2 linked regions of the Stegostoma tigrinum genome follow. The protein of the gene in region 2 binds, or shares a complex with, the protein of the main gene of each other region. Links are inferred from orthologs where the notes say so. Each region holds a gene or a part of one and is shown on either strand. Other genes may lie near its edges.

Evidence for each region. The genes of interacting proteins can lie anywhere in the genome.
Region 1: the proteins of syt1a (region 2) and complexin-1 are in contact, whole or in part, in a crystal structure (PDB 5W5C), measured with the Rattus norvegicus proteins. The link is inferred for Stegostoma tigrinum from reciprocal best matches to the Homo sapiens genes SYT1 and CPLX1. Residues at the interface, in NP_001028852.2 of Rattus norvegicus: Glu271, Thr383, Gly384, Glu386, Thr406, Leu407, Gln408, Glu412, Met416; in NP_074055.1 of Rattus norvegicus: Val61, Met62, Gly65, Asp68, Lys69, Tyr70, Lys74.

The regions. Positions count from the first base shown.
Region 1 is NC_081354.1:990,304-1,001,156, forward strand, and holds the start of complexin-1, read right to left. Parts: upstream 4,223-10,853; 5' UTR 4,100-4,222; intron 1-4,099. UniProt on the Homo sapiens protein: Positively regulates a late step in exocytosis of various cytoplasmic vesicles, such as synaptic vesicles and other secretory vesicles.
Region 2 is NC_081371.1:61,645,988-61,656,707, forward strand, and holds the start of syt1a (synaptotagmin-1a), read right to left. Parts: upstream 4,793-10,720; 5' UTR 4,561-4,792; intron 1-4,560. UniProt on the Homo sapiens protein: Calcium sensor that participates in triggering neurotransmitter release at the synapse. May have a regulatory role in the membrane interactions during trafficking of synaptic vesicles at the active zone of the synapse.

The DNA of each region.
Region 1 (10,853 bases), on a different chromosome or scaffold from region 2:
GGTAGATTCACTGATAGGATAAAAAATAAATTTTTGGCTTAGTAGTTATGAATGCTTGGGAGAGTGATCAATCTATTAAAGCTACAGGGACAACAACTTAAGAGGGAAGTGTTTCTTTATCTCTTAAAAAGGCACATTTGCAATGAGGCACTTTGTAAGTTAAATCAAAGTGCACATGAATGATGCTTCTAGAGTTTGTTGCTTCTCAGAAAGGTATGTTTTATTAAAATTGGGTTATCTTCAGTTAAAAGAAGGCCCTGCCATGTTTTACTGGCATTATAAAGGACAGCTTTCAAGCATTTTTATGCTGCATTTACATGATGTTTTATGGAGTAAGAGCAGTGAATTCAAAAACATTGTCATGAATGGAATTAAAGCAGAATTCAAAATTAGAAGTCAGATACTGGAATGGAAATGCAGCAACATAGATCAATGTCATTTTTCAACAGCAATCTTATTTGGAAAATGTTTAGCCATTGCTATTTGTCAAAATAGGGTTTCACGAAAAGATACAGTAGCTTCCAAAGCCGAAGTGGAGGAATTGTGAAGGGTCATTGGACAGATATATTAGCTGGCACTTAAATAAGGCAAGATGCTAATTTTAAAGTATTAGAGTTGAGTAAAACTATGAGAACTCCCAAGGCAGAAGATATCATTTAGGCAACAATCCATTGAAAAAATTAAAAATGGAACATAGTGTTTTAAACATTCTATTAATGGGAGATGCCAGGAGCACAAAACTTGCTTTTAGTGATGTTCCTTAAGCAAATCTCTGTGATTGGTTTCCACATGCAGAAAGGTTCAAAATCTTTCTTGTAGGAAAGGGAGGTAAATGTTACACTTTAGCTTGGGAAGCTAAAAAGATTGGAAAAGAGTAAAAAGTACATTAATGGTACAGGCTTTAACTCTTGGTGAGGTGGTAGAAATTGTATTTTCCTTATCAAAAATATTGAAAGAAAATCAAATAGGGATTCAGCAACAATACCCAATGAGCGCTGTATCGATAATAAATCACTGCGGAATAATGTAAACTCAACATTGAGAAAAAGGCTGAGGATCAGTATAGCAAATGGTGAAGAATGGAGAAATGTCCAAATTGAAATAGGTGAAAAACAACAGTCAGTGATCTGGTTATTTTACTAAGAAAGCAACAATTTCAGAGAAACTGTTGGGCATACCAGAAAAGGTCACTTGGAATTTTAATATGCAAAGAAAAAAAATGGGAATATAACCTTTTCTGAAGAAAGATCCAGATCCAAGAACATCAGCTTTCCTGCTCCATTGATGCTGCTTGGCCTGCTGTGTTCATCCAGCTCTACACCTTGTTATCTCAGATTCTCCAGCATCTGCAGTTCTTGCTATCTCTGAATATAATCTGTCATCATTTTGGTGTTTTTTTTCCTATTCTTATAGATTGAATTATCTAAGAAGAAAAAGTATATCTGTTATCGTCTAAAATAAATCAAAGAACTGCAGATGCTGAAGATCTGAAACAAAAACATAAATTATTGGAGAAACTCAGCAGGTTTGACAGCATATACTAATAAATGCAGTTAACGTTACAAGTTCAGTGAGGAAGGGACTCAATGAGGAAGGGACCAAAACAACTCTGCTTTCTCTCCATTGATGCTGTCTGACCTGCTGAATTTCTCCAGTAGCTTTAGGTACTGTTATAATCTAGGATTGCCTGAGACCTAATAAAATGAGAAGTAATGCATATACAAATGAAGAGCTAATTAATTGATTGTATAAATGTAGGGAGCTAGTAATCACTGGGCTGCGGGCTTTGTGGGAACGTGGTTAACTGAAAAGGCGCTCTCATATAAAAGTGAGGACTTGGAGTTCTTTTTAATTACACTAGCTTTTGGAAAATGAGACTGTCTCTCTCCGTTGTGAGATTGATGTGAAAGTGCCGGTGTTGGACTGAGGCGGACAAGACCAGAAGTCACAGACACCAGGTTATAGTCTGACAGGTTTATTTGAAAACACATACTTTCAGGGTTCACCTGACGAAGGGGCTGCCCTCCGAAAGCTTGCGATTTCAAGTAAACCTGTTGGACTATAACCTGGTGTCTGTAACTTGTGACATAGTGAGAATGGGGGAAGATTCCTGTTTTCTGACTGTCTCCCTCCAGTGTGACAATCGGAGAGTTTTTTTCCCCCAATCTCAGTAGCATTGGTTGGGGAATGATCCTGCCTGCTTTGTGATGTGAGTAATCCGGAGACTAATCTGAGCTCTGAATGCTGAGGAATAACTGATGGCTGCGATACCTGTTTTCTACTCCGTCTCCGCGATTTCGTGCATATGTACTGTCACTTTCGGAAGATTTTTTATTGAATGGGAGAGTAGTAGATGAGAAGCTGCCTGCGGTGTTACTGTTGCTGACATATAGTTAGGAATTATCGGAAGTTCATACTTTCCCTTTCTGTCCATACTTTCCGGGCTTACCTCCGGGCTTCTGGCCGTTCAGGGTCAATCCTGCACGGTCTCATATAACTGCAGTTCCTCCCCCGGACAGCAATTACTTTCCACTCTGTTGTGCCAAATTGCTATCGCGTTTGCTAATTTCTCATCCGCGGGGACTGATTAATTGAAAGGGCTCCGTGCCACTGGTTTGCCGGTGGAAACTCCGAAACTATCTCGAAAGAAAATTGCTGGGTGAAATTATTTGCTGACTGGAAGGAAATGATTCTGTATAGGGTACTTTCAGGTTCAAGATTCTGGGTCAATGTGGAAATAGCTTTCCTTGTGGCTAGTGTACAGGACAGTAGTGTGTGTGTACAGGACAATGCCCTGTGTGTACAGGACTGTGCTGTGTGTGTGTACAGGACAGTACTGGGTGTGTGTACAGGACAGTGCTGGGTGTGTGTAGAGGACAGTACTGGGTGTGTGTACAGGACAGCGCTGTGTGTATGTACAGGACAGTGCTGTGTGTGTACAGGACAGTGCTGTGTGTATGTACAGGACAGTACTGGGTGTGTGTACAGGACAGTACTGGGTGTGTGTACAGGACAGTGCTGGGTGTGTGTAGAGGACAGTACTGGGTGTGTGTACAGGACAGTGCTGGGTGTGTGTACAGGCCAGTGCTGGATGTGTGTACAGGACAGTGCTGTGTGTGTACAGGACAGTACTGGATGTGTGTACAGGACAGTGCTCTGTGTGTGTACAGGACAGTGCTCTGTGTGTGTACAGGACAGTGCTGTATGCATACAGGACAATGCCCAGTGTGTGCAGGACAGTGTTGTGTGCGTATGCAGGGCAGTGCTGTGTGCGTGTGCAGGACAGTGCTGTGTGCGTGTGCAGGACAGTGCTGTGTGCGTGTGCAGGGCAGTGCTGTGTGTACAGGATAGTGCTCTGTGTGTGTACAAGATATTGCTGTGTGTGCATATACAGGCCAGCGCTATGTGTGTACAGGGCAGTGCCATGTGTGTACAGGACCATGCTGTGAGTGTACAAGCCTGTGCTGTGCGTGTACAGAACCGTGTTGTGTGTGTATATACAGGGCAGTGTGTGTACAGGACAGTGTGTATCCTGTGCACTGTGCGTGTGTGTGCGCGCTGATCACTTGCCTGTTGTAACACGGGCAGCACTGTGAGAGAACACTGCTGACTTTCAATAAACTCAAGGTCGCCGTGGGTCGCATTAAACACCGCGGCCACTAAACCCGCATCGCGTTTTGCTAGTTCCCACAGCCTATCCCGTTTTACTGCCTACAGAGAGAGAGCCTGGCTCTCTGTCTCTGTCTCTCTCTCCGTTCCCTCTCTGGTTCCGGATTCTGTCAAATGGCAAACCGCCTCTCTCAGCTGTTCACAATAAACCCATTTCCTTATCGCAATCTGTGCCCCCGGGTTGGCGGGGATCACCTTCAGGAAGGTGCCCCCTGAATTCCGACACACAGTCACGGTGCATGTTGCGGGAACTCTGAGCCAGGCTCCTGAACCGAATGCCCAGGAAACGGAGATTCCAGCCGCACTGTAGTCCGAATCTCCCCCCCTCACTAACACATCAAACTGGCAACACCATGCTCCTGGCCCTTTCCTCGGCAGCAAATGCTCCTGTAGCTGAGCTAGCGATACAGAGGAGGTTGGAATTGCTTACCGGCTCCTGCTGGTTACCAGGCTGACAGAGACTGAGAAAGAGAGTGTGTGTGAGAAGGTGCTGAACGAACAGCTCCAGCTCGGGCTCCAGCACGTCCCCTTCCTCAGCAGCACTAACACATTCCAGCTCTGCACTCTCTCTAAAAATAGCTCCCCCACCCCCCCGCTCCATCCCTCCCTCCCTGCGCCAATCCGCACACACACATCTCCCTACTCAGCAAATTCATCCCCCCACTCCACATCCATTACTGCCTGCTGTTCCCTTAGGAGATAGTCTCCTCGCTATTCCATCTGCAACCAGGCCAGCCAGCTCCCCCCACCGCATCACCATCCCACGGCCCCCTCTCTCCTCCCCTCTCTCTCTCCCTCCCTCCCCTCTCTCACTCCCCTCTCTCTCTCTCCCTCCCTCCCCTCTCTCAGTCCCCTCTCTCTCCCACCCCAACACACCCTCTCTCACTCCCCTCTCTCCCCCACACCGCGCCCTCTCTCACTCCCCTCTCTCTCCCACCCACCACCCCCTCTCTCACTCCCCTCTCTCTCCCGCCCCACCGCCCCCCCTCAGTCCCCTCTCTCTCCCCCACACAGCCGCCTCTCTCACTCCCCTCTCTCTCCCACTCACCGTCCCCTCTCTCACTCCCCTCTCTCTCCCACCCCACCGCCCCCTCTCTCACTCCCCTCTCTCTGCCACCCCACCGTCCCCTCTCACTCCCATCTCTCTCCCACGCACCGCCCCCTCTCTCACTCCCCTCTCTCTCCCGCCCCACCGCCCCGTCTCGCACTCCCCTCTCTCTCTCACCCCACCGCTCCCTCTCTCATTCCCCTCTCTCTCCCACCCCACCGCCCTCTCTCACTTCCCTCTCTCTCTCTCCCTCCCTCCCCTCTCTCCCACCCCACCGCCCCATCTCTCCCTCCCCTCTCTCTCCCACCCCACCGCCCCCCCCCTCACTCCCCTCTCTCTCCCACCCCGTCGCCCCTTCTCACTCCCCTCTCTCTCTCACCCCACCGCTCCCTCTCTCATTCCCCTCTCTCTCCCACCCCACCGCCCTCTCTCACTTCCCTCTCTCTCTCTCCCTCCCTCCCCTCTCTCCCACCCCACCGCCCCATCTCTCACTTCCCTCTCTCTCCCACCCCACCGCGCCCGGTCTCTCACTCCCCTCTCTCTCCCACCCCACCGCGCTCTCTCACTCCCATCTCTCTCCCACCCACCGCGCCCTCTCTCACTCCCCTCTCTCTCCCACCCCTCTCCCTCCCTCCCCTCTCTCCCACCTCACCGCGCCCTCTCTCACTCCTCTCTCTCTCCCCCCCCACTCTCCTCTCGCCATCACTTCCCTCTCCCTCCCCCTCTCCCACTCCCCTCTCTCCACCCCCCACTGCCCCGTCTCACTCCCCTCTCTCTCTCACCCACCGCCCCGTGTCTCACTCCCCTCTCTCTCCCCCCCACTGCCCCGTCTCTCACTCCTCTCTCTCTCTCTCACCCCCTCACTCTCCCTCCCCTCTCCCTCCCTCTCCTCTCTCTCCCCCCCACCGCCCCGTCTCTCACTCCCCTCTCTCTCTCCCTCCCACCCCTCTCCCTTCCTCCCCTCTCTCTACCCCCACCGCCCCGTGTCTCATTCCTCTCTCTCTCCCCCCCCACTTCCCTCTCTCTCTCTCTCCCTCACTCCCCTCTCCCTCCCACCCCACTCCCTCCCGTCCCTCTCTCTCCCCCCCACCACCCCGTCTCTCACTCACCCCTCTCTCTCTCCATCCCTCTCTCTTCTTTTTCCACGCCCCCCTACCGCCCCGTCTCTCATTTCCCTCTCTCTCTCCCTCCCTCTCTCCCTCCTCCTTGTCTCTCCCTTCTTCCCGCAAATCCCCCTCACCTTCTCCCCCTCTCCTCTCTCCTCCCATCCCTCTCTCCCCCCTCTCCCCTACCCTCTCTCCCTCTCTCCTGTTACCCTCTCTCCCCCCTCTCCCTTACCATCTCTCTCTCCCTCTCTCTTGTTAACCTCTCTCCCCCCTCCCTTACCCTCTCTCTCTCCCTCTCTCCTGTTACCCTCTCTCCCCCCTCCCTCTCTCTCTCCCTCTCTCCTGTTACCCTCTCCCCCTCTCCCTCCCTCTCTCTCTCCCTCTCTCCTGTTACCCTCTCTCCCCCCTCTCCCTTACCATCTCTCTCTCCCTCTCTCCTATTACCCTCTCTCCCCCCTCCCTTACCCTCTCTCTCTCCCTCTCTCCTATTACCCTCTCTCCCCCTCTCCCTTACCCTCTCTCTCTCCCTCTCTCCTGTTACCCTCTCCCCCTCTCCCTCCCTCTCTCCTGTTACCCTCTCCCCCCCTCCCTCCCTCTCTCTCTCCCTCTCTCCTGTTACCCTCTCTCCCCCTCTCCCTCCCACTCTCTCTCCCTCTCCCCAGCCGGTGAGGTTTCCCTCTGATTGCGGGCACTGTGGTGAGAGGGACCTGCTCTGAAGTTTCTTGGGATCACAGTCATTCCCAGGCGGTCAGACAGTGCCCAGGGATAACCCTCCAGTGTCCTGCTCTGTGGCTAACCGGGAGGGAACAGGCTTTGGGACGGTACCGAGCACTGACAGCAGCCGGGGACCAGCTTCACAGTCACACCAGCCCCGACCCCCGGGGTGTGTGTTGGCGGGGGGGGTGGGGGAACGGTGCCCAGGACCACGCTGCAACCGAGAGCCAAGGAGCAGGCAGTGAGCAGGCTGAGATTAACTGGATGTGCGGGGGGAACACAGCCCAGGGCGCGGGGTGGGGGGGTGGGGGCAGAGCCCGGGATTTGGGGGTGGAGGGAGAGCCCGGGAAGCAGGAGGTTGGGGAGCGACAAAGCCCGGGAAAGGGGCACTGGGCTGGGAGCAGCCCCAGTGTGTGTGTCACTATCCCACCATCCCATTGCCCCAGTGCATGTGTGTGTGTGACTGATTATCCCACCATCCCAGCAGGAGCCCATGTGTGTGTGTGTGTGTGTGTGACTGACTATCCCACCATCCCAGTAGGAGCCCCTGTGTGTGTGTCTGACTATCCCACCATCCCAGCAGGAGAGCCACAGCACCCGCAAACCTACAGAAACAAACAATAAATGAAACCCCAGCACGTCCCTACAGCTGGAAGTCCCAAATACCATGCACTACCTCAGGCTGCTCACTGCCTTCTCCCAGCAACAGAGATGCGATGGAAACTTGCTTCCGGCCCGAATGGGGAAGCAACCGGAAGGTCTGAAATCACCTGGTGCCTGGATCCAACAAATTGCTCCAGTTTACTGTCACATAGAAACAGCAAACCCCAGGAGACAGGGGCAGGGGGTGGCTGATGCTCGCAACTGAGCTCCTGTCAGGCCTAACAGTGCTGCTGTGCAGGTTCTCTCTCCTGGTTACAGTCCTGCCTGCTGGCGGTTACAGTCCTGCCTGCTGGAGGTGATGGTCCTGCCTGCTGGAGGTAACAGTCCTGCCTGCTGGGGGTAATGGTCCTGCCTGCTGGGAGTAACAGTCCTGCCTGATGGGGGTGATATTCCTGCCTGCTGGAGGGGTAACAGTCCTGCCTGCTGGAGGTGATGGTCCTGCCTGCTGGGGATAATGGTCCTGCCTGCTGGGGGTGATATTCCTGCCTGCTGGAGGGGTAACAGTCCTGCCTGTTGGAGATGATGGTCCAGCCTGCTGGGGTAACAGTGCTGCCTGCTGGGGGTAACAGTGCTGCCTGCTGGGGGTAACAGTCTAGCCTGCTGTGTGTGATGGTTGTGCCTGCTGGGCTGTTGGTGTTCTGTGTTGAGGGTGATAGTGTTGCCAGCAGCTCGTGAGGAAGATACCTTATCATTTCCTGCTCTGAATCTAGCGAGATTGGAGCCTGAGGATGAGGCAGACTGTGACTGAAGAGGAAACTGCGCTATAACAAGAGAGAGAGGCTGGCCAAGTGCCTCCATGCCACTCTGGCTCTCACTCACTCTGCATATAGCGCCAGGGCTGAACTAAAACAAGGTCAGTGTTAGATTAAAGAGAGAATTCCACCTCACACTGGGAGCAAAAACCAACATGGTTTGAACAGTCTGGATTATATTGACCATAAAATTTTAAATGTGTGCCCAGATCAGTGTAAACAGTAGGAAAATACTGAAACTCCAGGTTAGCGCAGGATGCTGAGCAGGAGAACAGCAATACCACATCCTGCATCAGTGAGGATTTGGGAGATCAGGCGAATGGCAGAAATAAGGAGACCATGGAATATCAGGTTAACGGATAATTGCACTCAGGTCAAAAACAGAAATCGCTGGAGAAACTCAGCAGTTCTGGCAGCAGTTGTGGGGAGAAAGCAGAGTTAATATTTTGGGTCCAGTGACCTTTCCTCAGAGCAGTGTGCCAGGGTAATTAAAGGCTACTGGACAGTGAAGGTGTCATGGTAATGGCAGTTCTCAGCTGTGTTCCTGAAATTCCAGCTTAGGATAGTTCACTCACTGAGTTATTTGAAACCAGAGAACTCAATGCCACCCATCTCCCCGGTTTCCTTTCCAGCCGCACCTCCTCCCTTCCATTCCACCTACTGATCCTCCCTTCCCACTGACCAACCAGGTTCATACCTACCACCAGTGCCCACCTATCACAACCCAATCTGCTACCCCCACCCCACATCCAGTCCTGGAGAAGGGTTATACCCGAAACATTGACTCCTCATGTCCTTCAGATGCTGCCTGGCGTGATGAGTAGTGAATTTGGGGTCAGTTTAATTGTTACCCAGGAGTTAGAATTTATTTTTAATTCTCTAACATTTCCTGGATAACTATTATTTCAATTGGGGGGGTACTGCTCCAATCTCTCCAACGTCATTGGATTATTTTCAAAGGTCACGGATGCCGAGGTTTTGTTCAGCAGGAACTTCAATTTCTGGGACCTTAATGCCTTAATGGCTACAGCCTGGTGGCTCTGACATCGATCATTATGAAATACTTTGAGAGGTTAGTCATGGAACACATCAATTCCAGCCTCCCCGACTGCCTTTATCCACTACAGTTCACCTACTGTTGCATTAGGTCCATAGCAGACACCATCTCCCTGACCCTACACATGTGCCTGGAACATCAGGATACTCAGCCTCTTACTATATTCCTTACAAACTCATGACTGTGTATCTAAATTCCACTCAAACTCCATTTATAAATTTGCTGATGACACAAAATAGTGTGTCATTTCTTAAACAATGGTGGGTCAGAGTACAGGAAAGAGATAGAAAGCTTAGTGGTATGAAGCAAAGACAACATTCTCTCCCTCGATGTCAGCAAAATGAAGGAACTTGTCACTGACTTCAGGGAACAGAGTAGAGGACATGCCCCTGTCTGTATCAATGGTGCTGAGTTGGAACTGGTCTAGACTTTTGAGTTCCTGATAGTAAATATCACCAACAATCTATTCTGTAACAACGTTACAATCACGCAAGCATACCAACACCTCTACTCAGGAGGCGAAGGAAATTCAGCATGTCCACATTGACTCTTACCAATTTTTATAGTTGCATCATGGAAAGCATCCTATTGGGATGCATCACAGCTAGTTTTAACAACTGCTCTGCCAAGACTACAAGAAATTACAGAGAGTTATGAACATGGCCCAGTCCATCACAGAAACCAACCTTCTATCCATTGACCACATCTACACTTCTTGCTGCCTCAGGAAAGCAGCCATGACCCATCCCACATTGGTTATATTCTCTTCTACCGTCTTCTATCAGGCTGAGGATACAAAAGTTTGAAAACACACATTAACAGATTCAAGAATAGTTTCTTCTCCACTATCATCCGACTTTTGAATGGACCTCTCGTACTTTAAAAGTTGATCTTTCTCTGCACCTTCTCTGTAGCTGTAACACTATATTCTGCATTCTGTTCTATTACCCTGATGTACTTATGTAAGGTATGATAAGCCTGGATAGCACTCAAAACAATACTTTTCACTGTATCTCAGTACATGTGACAATAATAAATCAAAATCAAATCAGGTAATGCTTTGAGGACCTGAGTTCAAATACATTCATAGCAAATGGTGGAATTTGAATCCAAGAAAATCTGGAATTAAGACCATAAAACCAGTTGATTTTCATTTTTTAAAAGATCAACTGGTGAACTAAGATAATAAAGTGTGAAGCTGGATGAACACAGCAGGCCAAGCAGCATCTCAGGAGAGATGTTGCTTGGCCTGCTGTGTTCATCCAGCTTCACACTTTATTATCTTGGATTCTCCAGCATCTGCAGTTCCCATTATATCTGGTGAACTAATATGCTTTCGGGAAGGAAGCCCACGTAACTCCAGACTCATCAGCAATGCGTTTGATTCTTAACTGCCTTTTGAAATGGCCAAGCAAGTCACAAAACAGTCTCAAAGAAATAAAACTGGATTGACTACTTGGCAGCAACCTAGGCCCAAGAAATGACAATGGTAACAGCAATCCACTTGGTTCCACAAAGTCCTTCTCACCAACATTTTTATTCATTAAGGGGAATGGGACACAATGCCTGGACCAGTATTTATTACTCACAATAACTGCCTTTAAGAAGGTAATCATGAGCTGCCTTCTTGAACCACTGCAGTCCATTTGGTGTCAGTGTTAGTACACCCACTGTACTGGTAGGCAGGGAATTCCATGATTTTGACACGGTCTTAGCGAAAGATCAGTGATATAGTACCAGGAACCTACTGCCAAACTTGGGAGAGCTAGCTTGTAAAGGTAGTCAAGCAACAGGCTGACACAGGCATACTCATAGAACCATAACTTACAGACTTTGCCCCAGAC
Region 2 (10,720 bases):
AGGCACCCACCACCCTCTGTGTAAAGAACTTTCCACCCATATCTCCCTTAAACTTTCCTCCTCTCACTTTGAACTCATGACCCCTATTAATTGAGTCCTCCACTCTGGGAAAAAGCTTCTTGCTATGCACCCTGTCTATACCCCTCATGATTTTGTAGACCTCAATCAGGTCCCCCCTCAATCTCCATCTTTCTAATGAAAATAATCCTAATCTATTCAACCTCTCTTCATAGCTAGCACCCTCCATCCCAGGCAACATCCTGGTGAACCTCCTCTTCACCCTCTCCAAAGCATCCACATCCTTTTGTTAATGTGGCGACCAGAACTGTACACAGTACTCCAAATGTGGCCGAACCAAAGTCCTATACAACTCGAACATGACCTGCCGACTCTTGTACTCAATACCCCGTCTGATGAAGGAAAGCATGCCATATGCCTTCTTGACCACCCTATTGACCTGCGTTATCACCTTCAGGGAACAATGGACCTGAACACCCAGATCTCTCTGTTCATCAATTTTCCCTAGGACTTTTCCATTTACTGTATAGTTCGCCCTTGAATTAGATCTTCCAAAATGCATCACCTCGCATTTGCCCGGATTGAACTCCATCTGCCATTTATCTGCCCAACTCTCCAGTCTATCTATATTCTGCTGTAATCTCTGACAGTCCCCTTCACTATCTGCTACTCCACCAATCTTAGTGCCATCTGCAAACTTGCTGATCAGACCACCTACACCTTCCTCCAAATCATTTATGTATATCACAAACAACAGTGGTCCCAGCACAGATCCCTGTGGAACACCACTAGTCACAGGTCCCCAATTTGAGAAACTCCCTTCTACTACTGCTCCCTGTCTCCTGTTGCCCAGCCAGTTTTTTTATCCATCTAACTAGCACACCCTGGACCCCATGTGACTGCACTTTTCCCATCAGCCTGCCATGGGGAACCTTATCAAACACCTTACTGAAGTCCATGTATATGACTTCTATAGCCTTTCCCTCATCAATCAACTTTGTCATGTCCTCAAAGAATTCTATTAAGTTGGTAAGACATGACCTTCCCTGCACAAAACCGTGTTGCCTATCACTGATAAGCCCATTTTCTTCCAAATGGGAATAGATCCTATCCCTCAATATCTTTTCCAGTAGCTTCCCAACCACTGGCGTCAGGCTCACTGGTCGATAATTACCTGGATTATCCTTGCTACCCTTCTTAGACAAGGGGACAACATTAGCAAGTCTCCAGTCCTCCAGGACATCACCCGTGTCTAAGGATGCTGCAAAGATATCTCCTAAGGCCCCGGCTATTTCCTCTCTCACTTCCCTCAGTACTCTGGGATAAATCGCATCTGGACCTGGGTATTTGTCCACCTTAATGTCTTTTAGGATACCCAACACTTCCTCTTTCCTTCTGTCAACTTGACCTAGAGTAAGGAAACATCTATCCCATCCTCAGCATCCGTCATATCCCTCTCCTTGGTGAATACCGAACAAAGTACTCGTTAAGAATGTCACCCATTTTCTCTGACTCAGCGCATAACTTTCCTTTTTTGTCCTTAAGTGGGCCAATCCTTTCTCTAGTTACCCTCTTGCTCTTTATATATGAATAAAAGGCTTTGGGATTTTCCTTAACCATGTTTGCCAGCAATCTCTCATGCCCTCTCTTAGCCTGCTTAATCTCTCGTTTCAGATTCACAATCCCTCGTTCAGATTCAGAACTCTCGTTCACCTCAACCCTCATTTACGTCAACCCTCATCCATCTCAATTGCTATCCACCTTTACCCCATCCAGCTCAACCCTCATTCACCTCAACCCTCATTCACCTCAACCCTCATTCATTTCAATCCCCATCCATCTTAATCCCCATCCATCTCAATCCCCATCCACCTCAACCCTCATTCACCTCAACCCTCATTCACCTCAACCCTCATTCACCTCAACCCTCATTCATCTCAATCCCCATCCATCTTAATCCCCATCCATCTCAATCCCCAACCACCTCAACCCTTGCCCAACTCAATCCCCATCCACCTTCACCCCATCCACCTCAACCCTCATTCACGTCAATCCCATCCAGCTCAACTCCCATCCACCTTCACCCCCATCCACCTCGACCCCCATCCATCTTCAACACCACCCACCAGAAACCACCATGCTTCATTCAGCGTTATTGCACCAAGGTGAAATGAACCATGAAAGGAACCGTTGGATACTCACTCAGGGTCCTCTTTGGTACAGTGGTAGTGCCCCTACTACTGAACTGGGAGGCCCAGGTCCAAGTCCCATCTACTGCAGAAGAATGTAATAACATCTCTGAACAGATTTTTTTGAAAATATTTAGGATCTTCACTGAATCTTTGTGGGACTTCAGTGCGTGGGATCAAACTGAAGGAGATGGAAATTACTACACAATGTGTTTGAGTGGAGCTCAGGCCCCTGGTGGGTTAGTTTCTGGGATGGAGTTGGCAGCAGTTAGAAACTGTGTGACTGAGAGAGGAAGTATGTGTTCTGATCTCTCTTCATAGTGCCCTGTTTCTCAGGAGGCTGTGCTGCATGTTTGACAGACCTACCCAGGTCACTCTATCAGAATATTTGCCAATATCAAACGATGAAAATTCCTTCTCGTGTAAGGGCAGTGACCTGGGGAGATTCTGACTCTCGGTCTCTGTCTCTCTCACTAGTTCAGTGGAATCTGATGTTCTCTGGTTGGAGTTTGGAGGCATTGGGAAAACTACTCTGTATTTCCTGCTGAAATTAACACCAACAGTAATGGGGGGGGGGGCAGTGCGGGTGGAGAAAGTAAGATGCTGTTGCTGATACAATTGTCTGCTCTTTCACTGGGTCCAGTCAACCTGTAGGAGCCAAAGTAGTGGGACTCCTGTTCCTGTACAGCTGTATTTCAGGGTGACAGACTCAGCGCTCCACATCTCACGGGAGATTAATACATGGTTATAAATCAGTGTATAAATATGGATATGGCATACAGGCACAGAGATCAGAAGATCAAATCAAGTCGAAAACTCCTTGTCCTTCACACCGTCTGTTCGGAATTCCACTCCCACTGTTCGGAATCCGGTCTAAATCCCTGGGAATTAACCGCAGCTCGGTCCCCAGTCCCCAGCCCATTCCAGGGGAGGATCGGCAAGGTGTACAAATACCCCCAGCAACTGAGCAAAACCGATTCTCCCCGGAGATGACCCACAGGCTTGGCCGAAATCCTTTGCCGCTGGTTTCCGGCCATTCCCCGACATCTTTGCCCTGGCTCCTTCTCCCAGGATTGAGCATTCTCCATGTTCCCGTCTTGTATATGTGTGCCAGTGTGTGTGTATGTGCCAGTGTGTGCCATTATCAGTGAGTGTGTGCCAGTGTGTGTGCCAGTGTCAGTGAGTGTGTGCCAGTGTCTCTGTGTGTGTGCCAGTGTCTATGTGTATGCCAATGTGTGTGCCAGTGTGTGTGCCAGTGTCTGTGTGTGTGCCAGTGTCTGTGTGTGCCAGTGTCTGTGCATACCTGTGTGTGTGCCAGTGTCTGTGTGTGTGCGTGCCAGTGTGTGTGCGTGTGTGTGTGTGTGTGTGTGTGTGATTGTGTGTGTGAGTATGTATGTGCTGGTGTGTGTGTCAGTATGTGGGCATATCTGTGTGTGTGAATCAGTGTGTAATTGTGTGTGTCACTGTGTATCTATATCTGTGTCAGTTTGAGAGATTGTGTGACTGTGTCAGTGTGTGGGAGGGAGATTGTGTCTCTATGTGTGTCAGTGTGTGGGAGATTGTATGTCCACTGTGTGTGTGTATATGAGATTGTGTGTCAATGTGTGTGAGATTGTGTACCAGTGTGATTGTGTGTGTGTGCGTATGAGAGAGAGAGATAGAGAGAGAGAGAAAGTGTGTGTGTACTGATTAAATTACAACTAGTAGGCAATCAATGTGCTGTTTCTGATAAACACCTTTTGTGAATTCATTGCCGATTTGGAATTGACCGAGATGAACACAGTAAGCGGACTGACTGAACCCAACGGAGATATGCTCCACCTACGGCGGACTCTCACTAAACCAGGGCAGACATTCAGCGAGTGTTGGACAGAAACAGAGGAAATCTCTTCCTCATCACACACACACAGCCCTAACACAGCAATAGCAGGAACAACACACCGAGCAAATGAAAGATGACATTTGTTTTCGCGTTCTCCCTGATGGAGAGTGGCAGAGACGAACACACACACACACACACACACACACACAAAGGTTTACAGTCAGTATCAATCCCACTCCTCTGGTCACAGTTTCTCCACCTCAACTTTCTGGGACACACATAGTCCCGCTCCTTCCCCTCTGTCACCCGCCTCACTGACTCGCAATGATTCGGGTGAAGGGGATATTCCTGATAGAGCTCAGGGAACACAATCCTGAGCTGACACGTTCCTCCCATTCCGAGAGGGAGCATTCATTAGACTATAGTCCCTTCCCAAATATAAACCAACCCCAGCAACAGGGTTCCTGCCAGTCACACTTTCAGCATGGACAGAGAGAGAGGGGGACAGCTTGGGAACACAACATCTCTTACCTGGAATGATGTCCTTTATTTTGTTTAAAATAAACAGAAAATCTATTTAGCTGAGGCTGCCTGAGGAATAGAGACACACAAATTACAAGGAATGCACTTTTTTTTCTCTCTCTCTCTCTCTCAGTTTCTCTCTTGTTTGCTCCTCACGGCCAGGCTTTGCAGAGATTTGGTTCCAAGTGCTGAGAGTGAAGGGTTTTATACTGCGGGAGACAGGGGGGTAACCGTCACTTTAGCAGAGAGACACTGCAGCTCTCAGGAAAGCCTCCAGTGAGAACCTACTGCATCACTGAGTCCTTGTGTATGATTGGACACAGAAAAGTGCTGCCTCGCATACCTAATCCAGCAGCAAGAAACAGGGACACAGCTCCATTTCGTCTTCTCTCACACACACACACACATTGGAGAGAGTTCCCGCAAGAGGCGCCCGCAGCACCCAGCTCAGTCTTCCAGGAGACAGGTGGGGAGCGAGGGTGGGGGTGTGGGGGTGTGGGGGTGGGATCTAGATAGCCCCCAACCCTCTGCCCTGACTGCTTCCCTTCACCCAGAGGGTCTCACTACTCTCAACAATACCACACCACCAGCGACACTAACAGAAGCAAGCAAAGGGGAGGAGAGATTTTCAGTCAGGGATTGTTGCTATGAGGGTATGGGGATGCTGTCCCCGAGTTTACCTGGAGTAGACCTGAAGCTAGATGTTTACTGTGGGTCTGAGCTCCTTCAGGTCCCCAGCCCAGAGCCAGCCAGGGGTCACGCAGTGGAAGTTTATTGGCTCGGGAGCACAGAGCTGGGGACTTGAGTTTGAGTTTGTAACTGCACAAAGCCATCCTGCACATCCATATCTAGGTGGGCATCATGTGACTAAGAACATTGCCCCACCTCACAGTACTGTGTTTCCAGCAGCTGCTTTTCAAGCATATTTGGTTTGGACCTCTCTGAACCAGCTTGAGAATCAAATCCCAGCTGCCATTTCAGTTCTGAGGGAGTCCTACCCTGTCACTGGGGCCAGAACACCAATCACCCTCCTCCAGTAACCAAAAAATCCTGGCACACTATTCAAGACAGAGTTGGGGAGAGTTACTTCATGGGGTCTTGCTACACACAGTTAGGACCAGACCCCAGGCTCATGATGGGATACAGCTAAATCCCTGGGTGAGGAGGCATGACCAGGCTCTCCCTCTTTATTCAACCACACCCTCTTCCCCCAAATAGTTCCACGGATTAATTAAAAAAAGATGCATTTCTGTATTGGAAAGATTGCACCTGCCTGGTGATGAGACACATGGTGTATGTTTTCAATTGTGACCAGTTTGTACCTTGTCCACATAACCCAGTGCCTGCAATTTATATCACAATTACATTGGATTTTGGGGTGATCACAACTAGATTACACTGTGCAGTTTTGCTCTCCATTTCTATGAATCTTGGAGGGTGAACAATGAAACTTGACTGGATGTGTTGAAGCTTGACACCATCCAGGACAAAGCAGTTGCTTGATTGGCACCACATCCACAAACATCCCACTCCCTCCACCACCGACGCTCAGTAGCAGCAGTGTGTACTGTCTACAAGATGCACTGCAGAAATTTACCAGAAATCCTTAGCACCTTCCAAATCCCTAACTACTTCCATCAGAAGGACAAGGGCAGCAGGTACATGGGAACACCACCCCCTGCAAATTCCCCCTCAAGCCCCTCACCATCCTGACTTGGAAATATCTCACCGTTCCTTCACTATTACTGGGTCAAAATCCTGGAATTCCCTCCCTAAGGGCATTGTGGGTCAACCCACAGCACATGGACAACATCGGTTCAAAAACACAGCTCACTACCACATTCTCAAGGGGCAACTAGGGATGGGCAATAAATGCTGGCCTGGCCATGAATGCCCACATCCCATGAGCGAATGAATAAATGTGGTATGAGGTGAATAGATAGAATTAAGGTAAAAGATCACCTGCTATCGTAACTGAGGATGCTTAAGGGGCCAAGTGACTAACTCCTGTTCACAATTCTTACACTTTACACATTTTATGAAGTGAATCTCCCACTGACTGTAGCTGAATGCTCAACAACTAAATTCTATTCCCGCAATCTTTGGAAAATTAAAATTGTGTTTATATGACTTTTGTTGTTATCTCTTAGTCTCTCTCTCTCTCTCTCTTCTCTGTGTCTTTCTGTCTGATTGTGTCTCTTCACTGATTCGTTTCTTTCTTCCTGTCTGTTTCTCTCTATCACTTTCTCTCCCTCTCTCTCTCTTTGTCTCTCTTCCTTTCCATCTCTGTCTCTCTGCCTCTCTCTCAGTCTCTTTGTCTCCCACCATCACTCTCTCTGTCTGTCTTTCTCTTTCTGCAATCTCTTTTTCTCTGACTCTCCTCTCACTCTCTATCCTCTCTGCCTCTCCTCTTTCTCCTCTCTCTCTGTCTCCATGTCTCTCTCTCTCTGTCCTCTATCTCTCCCCTTCTGGCTCTTCCTTTCTTCACTGTGTCCATCTCTTTCTTTCTCTCCCTCTCTCTCTCTCTCTCTCTCTCTGCATCACCCCATCCCTACTCTCTCTCTCCTGCCTCTCTCCTCATTACACATATGTTATGATGACTTCAGCCAAATATTCCTCCTGGGCACAGGACTGTTGCCAGCTTCTAACTCAGTTTTCAAAAAAGACTGTTCATCTATAAATAGTGCATTGGCTTATGTTATAAATGAGGGACCTGTGTGGGTTGGGGGCTGTGCAGTGTTTGTAAATTTACTCTGAATGAAGTATAACTGCAAACTGACTCCCCCGAGTTACACTGCAGAACAGGAGGCATTGCTGTGAATTCCACTCCTGGTGAGAAGGCTGCGTGCAGAGAATTTGCTGAAGCGATTACATAAGAATGTTAAAAGATTCACACGTGTACATCCTATCTCTCACACACATACAAATAAACACACTCACATACACTGTGTCAGCGATACAGAGACTCATCCACATGTTCACACTCTGACACACTGTGCACCTGCTGACAAATACGCACACCTACTAACACACACCGACTTGCATAGTGCATCTGTAGTCAGACACAATTCCAGATTGCACATACATCCAACAAATCTCTCACATGGCTGCCTGTGCATACAGTCTCTTCTTACACACACACACACACACACACACACACACATACTCTCTCTCTCTCACTCTCTCTCACAAACATACATTCATAGTCACACAAACTCTCTCACACACAGACAGACAAACTCTCACACACACTCTCACACTCTCTCTCACACACAGACACACACACACTCTCACATACAGGCCCAGTCTCTTTCTCACACACACACACACACACACACACACACACACACACACACACACACACACACACACACACACACACGCTTTGATCCTCCTGATGTGACAATTCCTCCAGGATCCCTGCTGATGTCAGGATGCTAACCTTGAGAGGTTGGAACTCTGAGATATGTCCTAAAGGGGATTCATATATTAACACGAAGGCGAGGAATTTTAAGTCACAGTTTCTGCCATTTTTGGCCACCACCTTCTATCAAATACAGGATGTCAGTTTAATTGCATTTGGTTGCTGTTGCCTGGTAACAGGAAGGATATATAGTTTTTGAAAATTTATTAGCCCAGTGTGCAATATGACAGAATAATAAATTAAATACGTGAACTACAAGATATCACCAGTTTTAATCTAATGTTAAATGTCAAATGAAATTCCAAACACAGACCTTCACATCTCCAATCAAGTTTTATTTAGTTATATTATACAGAATTACTTTCAACAACAGCATAGTGTGGTGTGTTCAATGTGTGTGCATAATTATGCTCCATTAATACTGTAACTTGTGAGAAAGCAGCTTTAATATCTCCCACTTTTGGAGATATTTTCTTAACCATCGCGCATGATTGGCCTCAACTTTACATTCTCAGATAAGTTTAACGTCTCCAATGCTGGATTATCCCATTACAATGTTACATTGTTGATCTGTTAACATTAACATCACCTGCTGATTTATTCTGATCTCTCCAGCTTTCAAGGTTATAAATTAAGTGGCACAGTTTTAAAGACAGTGCAAGAACAGAGGGACCTGGAGGTTCACAAACACAAATCTTTTAAAGTGACAGAGTAACGAATGAGATTGCTGAAGCGACAAATGAAATCTGTAAGCCTTTAGGCCTGGAAGTGTACAGCACAAATGGAAGGCATTTACAGAAAACCTTTATCCAGTACTGGCCTGACCTCATTTAAAGAATTGTGTTTAATCCTGGTCACCACACCTTAGCAACGATGCCAAGACATTGTTAGAGGTGTAGAGGAGATTTACTCGAATGGGACCAAGGATGAGGGACTTCAGTGAATGTGGAGAGACTGAGTAACTGGGGTTGTTCCACTGATAGGAAAGATAGTGAGAAGAAGATCCGAAGATGGTGTCAGTTTGTGTCATTTCTGACTTTTAGAGTTTGCTTTTTGTTTTCTGCGTTCAAAACGAGGAAGGATTTTGATAAAATAAATATGGAGAAAACCATTACCAGTGACCAGGGGGTCAGGAACGAGAGGAACAAAAACAGAAGTTGCTGGAAAATCTCAGCAGATCTGGCAGCATTTGTAGTGGGGAAACAGAGTTAATGTTTCAAATCCAGTTACTGTTCTTCAGAACCCTTCTTCACTGGACCTAGAACATTAACACAGCTTTCTCTCTCCACAGATGCTGCCAGACCTGCTGAGTTTTTACAGCAATTTCTGCTTTTGTTTCTGATTTCCAGCATCCACAGTTCTTTTGTTTTTTTTTGTTTAGCAACCAGCGAGATTCTGATGTAAGATTACGGGTAAAAGAACAAACGCGAGATGAGGAGAACTATTTTAACTGAGTGTGTTTATAAAATCATAGAAAATCTATGAGACAGAAGGAGGCCATTTACCCCATCATGTCCATGACAGTTACCAAAGGGTGATCTAGCCTTGTCCTACTATTCTGCACTAGGCCTGCAGTACTGTTGTGATCTGGGAAGTGCTGTCTGAGAGGGTGTTAGAGAAAGACTCAATAGTAACATTCAAAAGGAGAAAAATGCACAGATTTGGAAGCTAATACAGGGAGAAGTGAGATTAATTGGATAAGGAGATGGAACTGACGTGATGGGCTGAATGGCCTCCTTTGGTGCTGTGTCATTCTATAATTCTATGAGACAAATAAAATGAAAATTTTACCAAAACTAACACATTGTCCAGAGACAACGGCATAAATACTGATAAATTTTGCTGACTCTGTTAGAGTCTCACAACATTGAAATCCTATGGAAATGTTTTACAATAAAAGAAACAATTTTGCTTTACTACCATTGACAAGTATGTTATTGTTGTGTCAGAGTTCAGGTTGTGACAGAGTGTTGGTTCAGTTCAATCTATTATATTGAGATATTCTGCCAATTTCTTTGGGTGTTGCATCTTCAGGTCAGCATGATGGCAGGGCGGTGACTTATTGTCTCTTCAACATTTTTACAGGAGCCTCAATATATTTTGACAACAACCTTTATTTACAGTCATTGATCCACACTCACTCAAAGTGTCTCCTCCATGCAATCTCTCTCCAATTCTCACTCACTGAATCACACTGGGAGCGAGAGAAGGAGGACAAAAAAATGAAGGAGAAGGAGGAGGAGAAAAAGGAGCTGGAGAGGACACAGTGGGATTACCTCCGCACCAGTGACAATGCGACTGAGGTAATGCTTTGAGGGCAAGGCTCAAATCCTAGCACGGCAGATGGTGAAATGTGAATCAACTAAAAATATGGAATTAAAAGTCCAATGATGACGATAAAAACCTGTTGTAAAAACATGCTGAGTTTGCTAATGTACCTTAGGGAAGGAGTCTACTATCCTTACCCAGTAGGGACTACACTACAATACACTATGGACACTGAACTGCCCTCTGGAATGTCTGGCTAAGTCACTCGGTTGGATCAATTGTCAGAAAGAGAAAGCAGAATGAAACCAGAAGAGATAACAAGAACCTCAGATGTTGGAGTCAGGGTCAACACAGTGTGGAGCTGAAGGAGCACAGCAGGTCAGGCAGCATCAGAGGAGCAGGAAAGTCAATGTTTTGGGTCTGATGAAGGGTCCACACTCGAAACATCAGCTTTCCTGACCCTCGGATGCTGCCTGA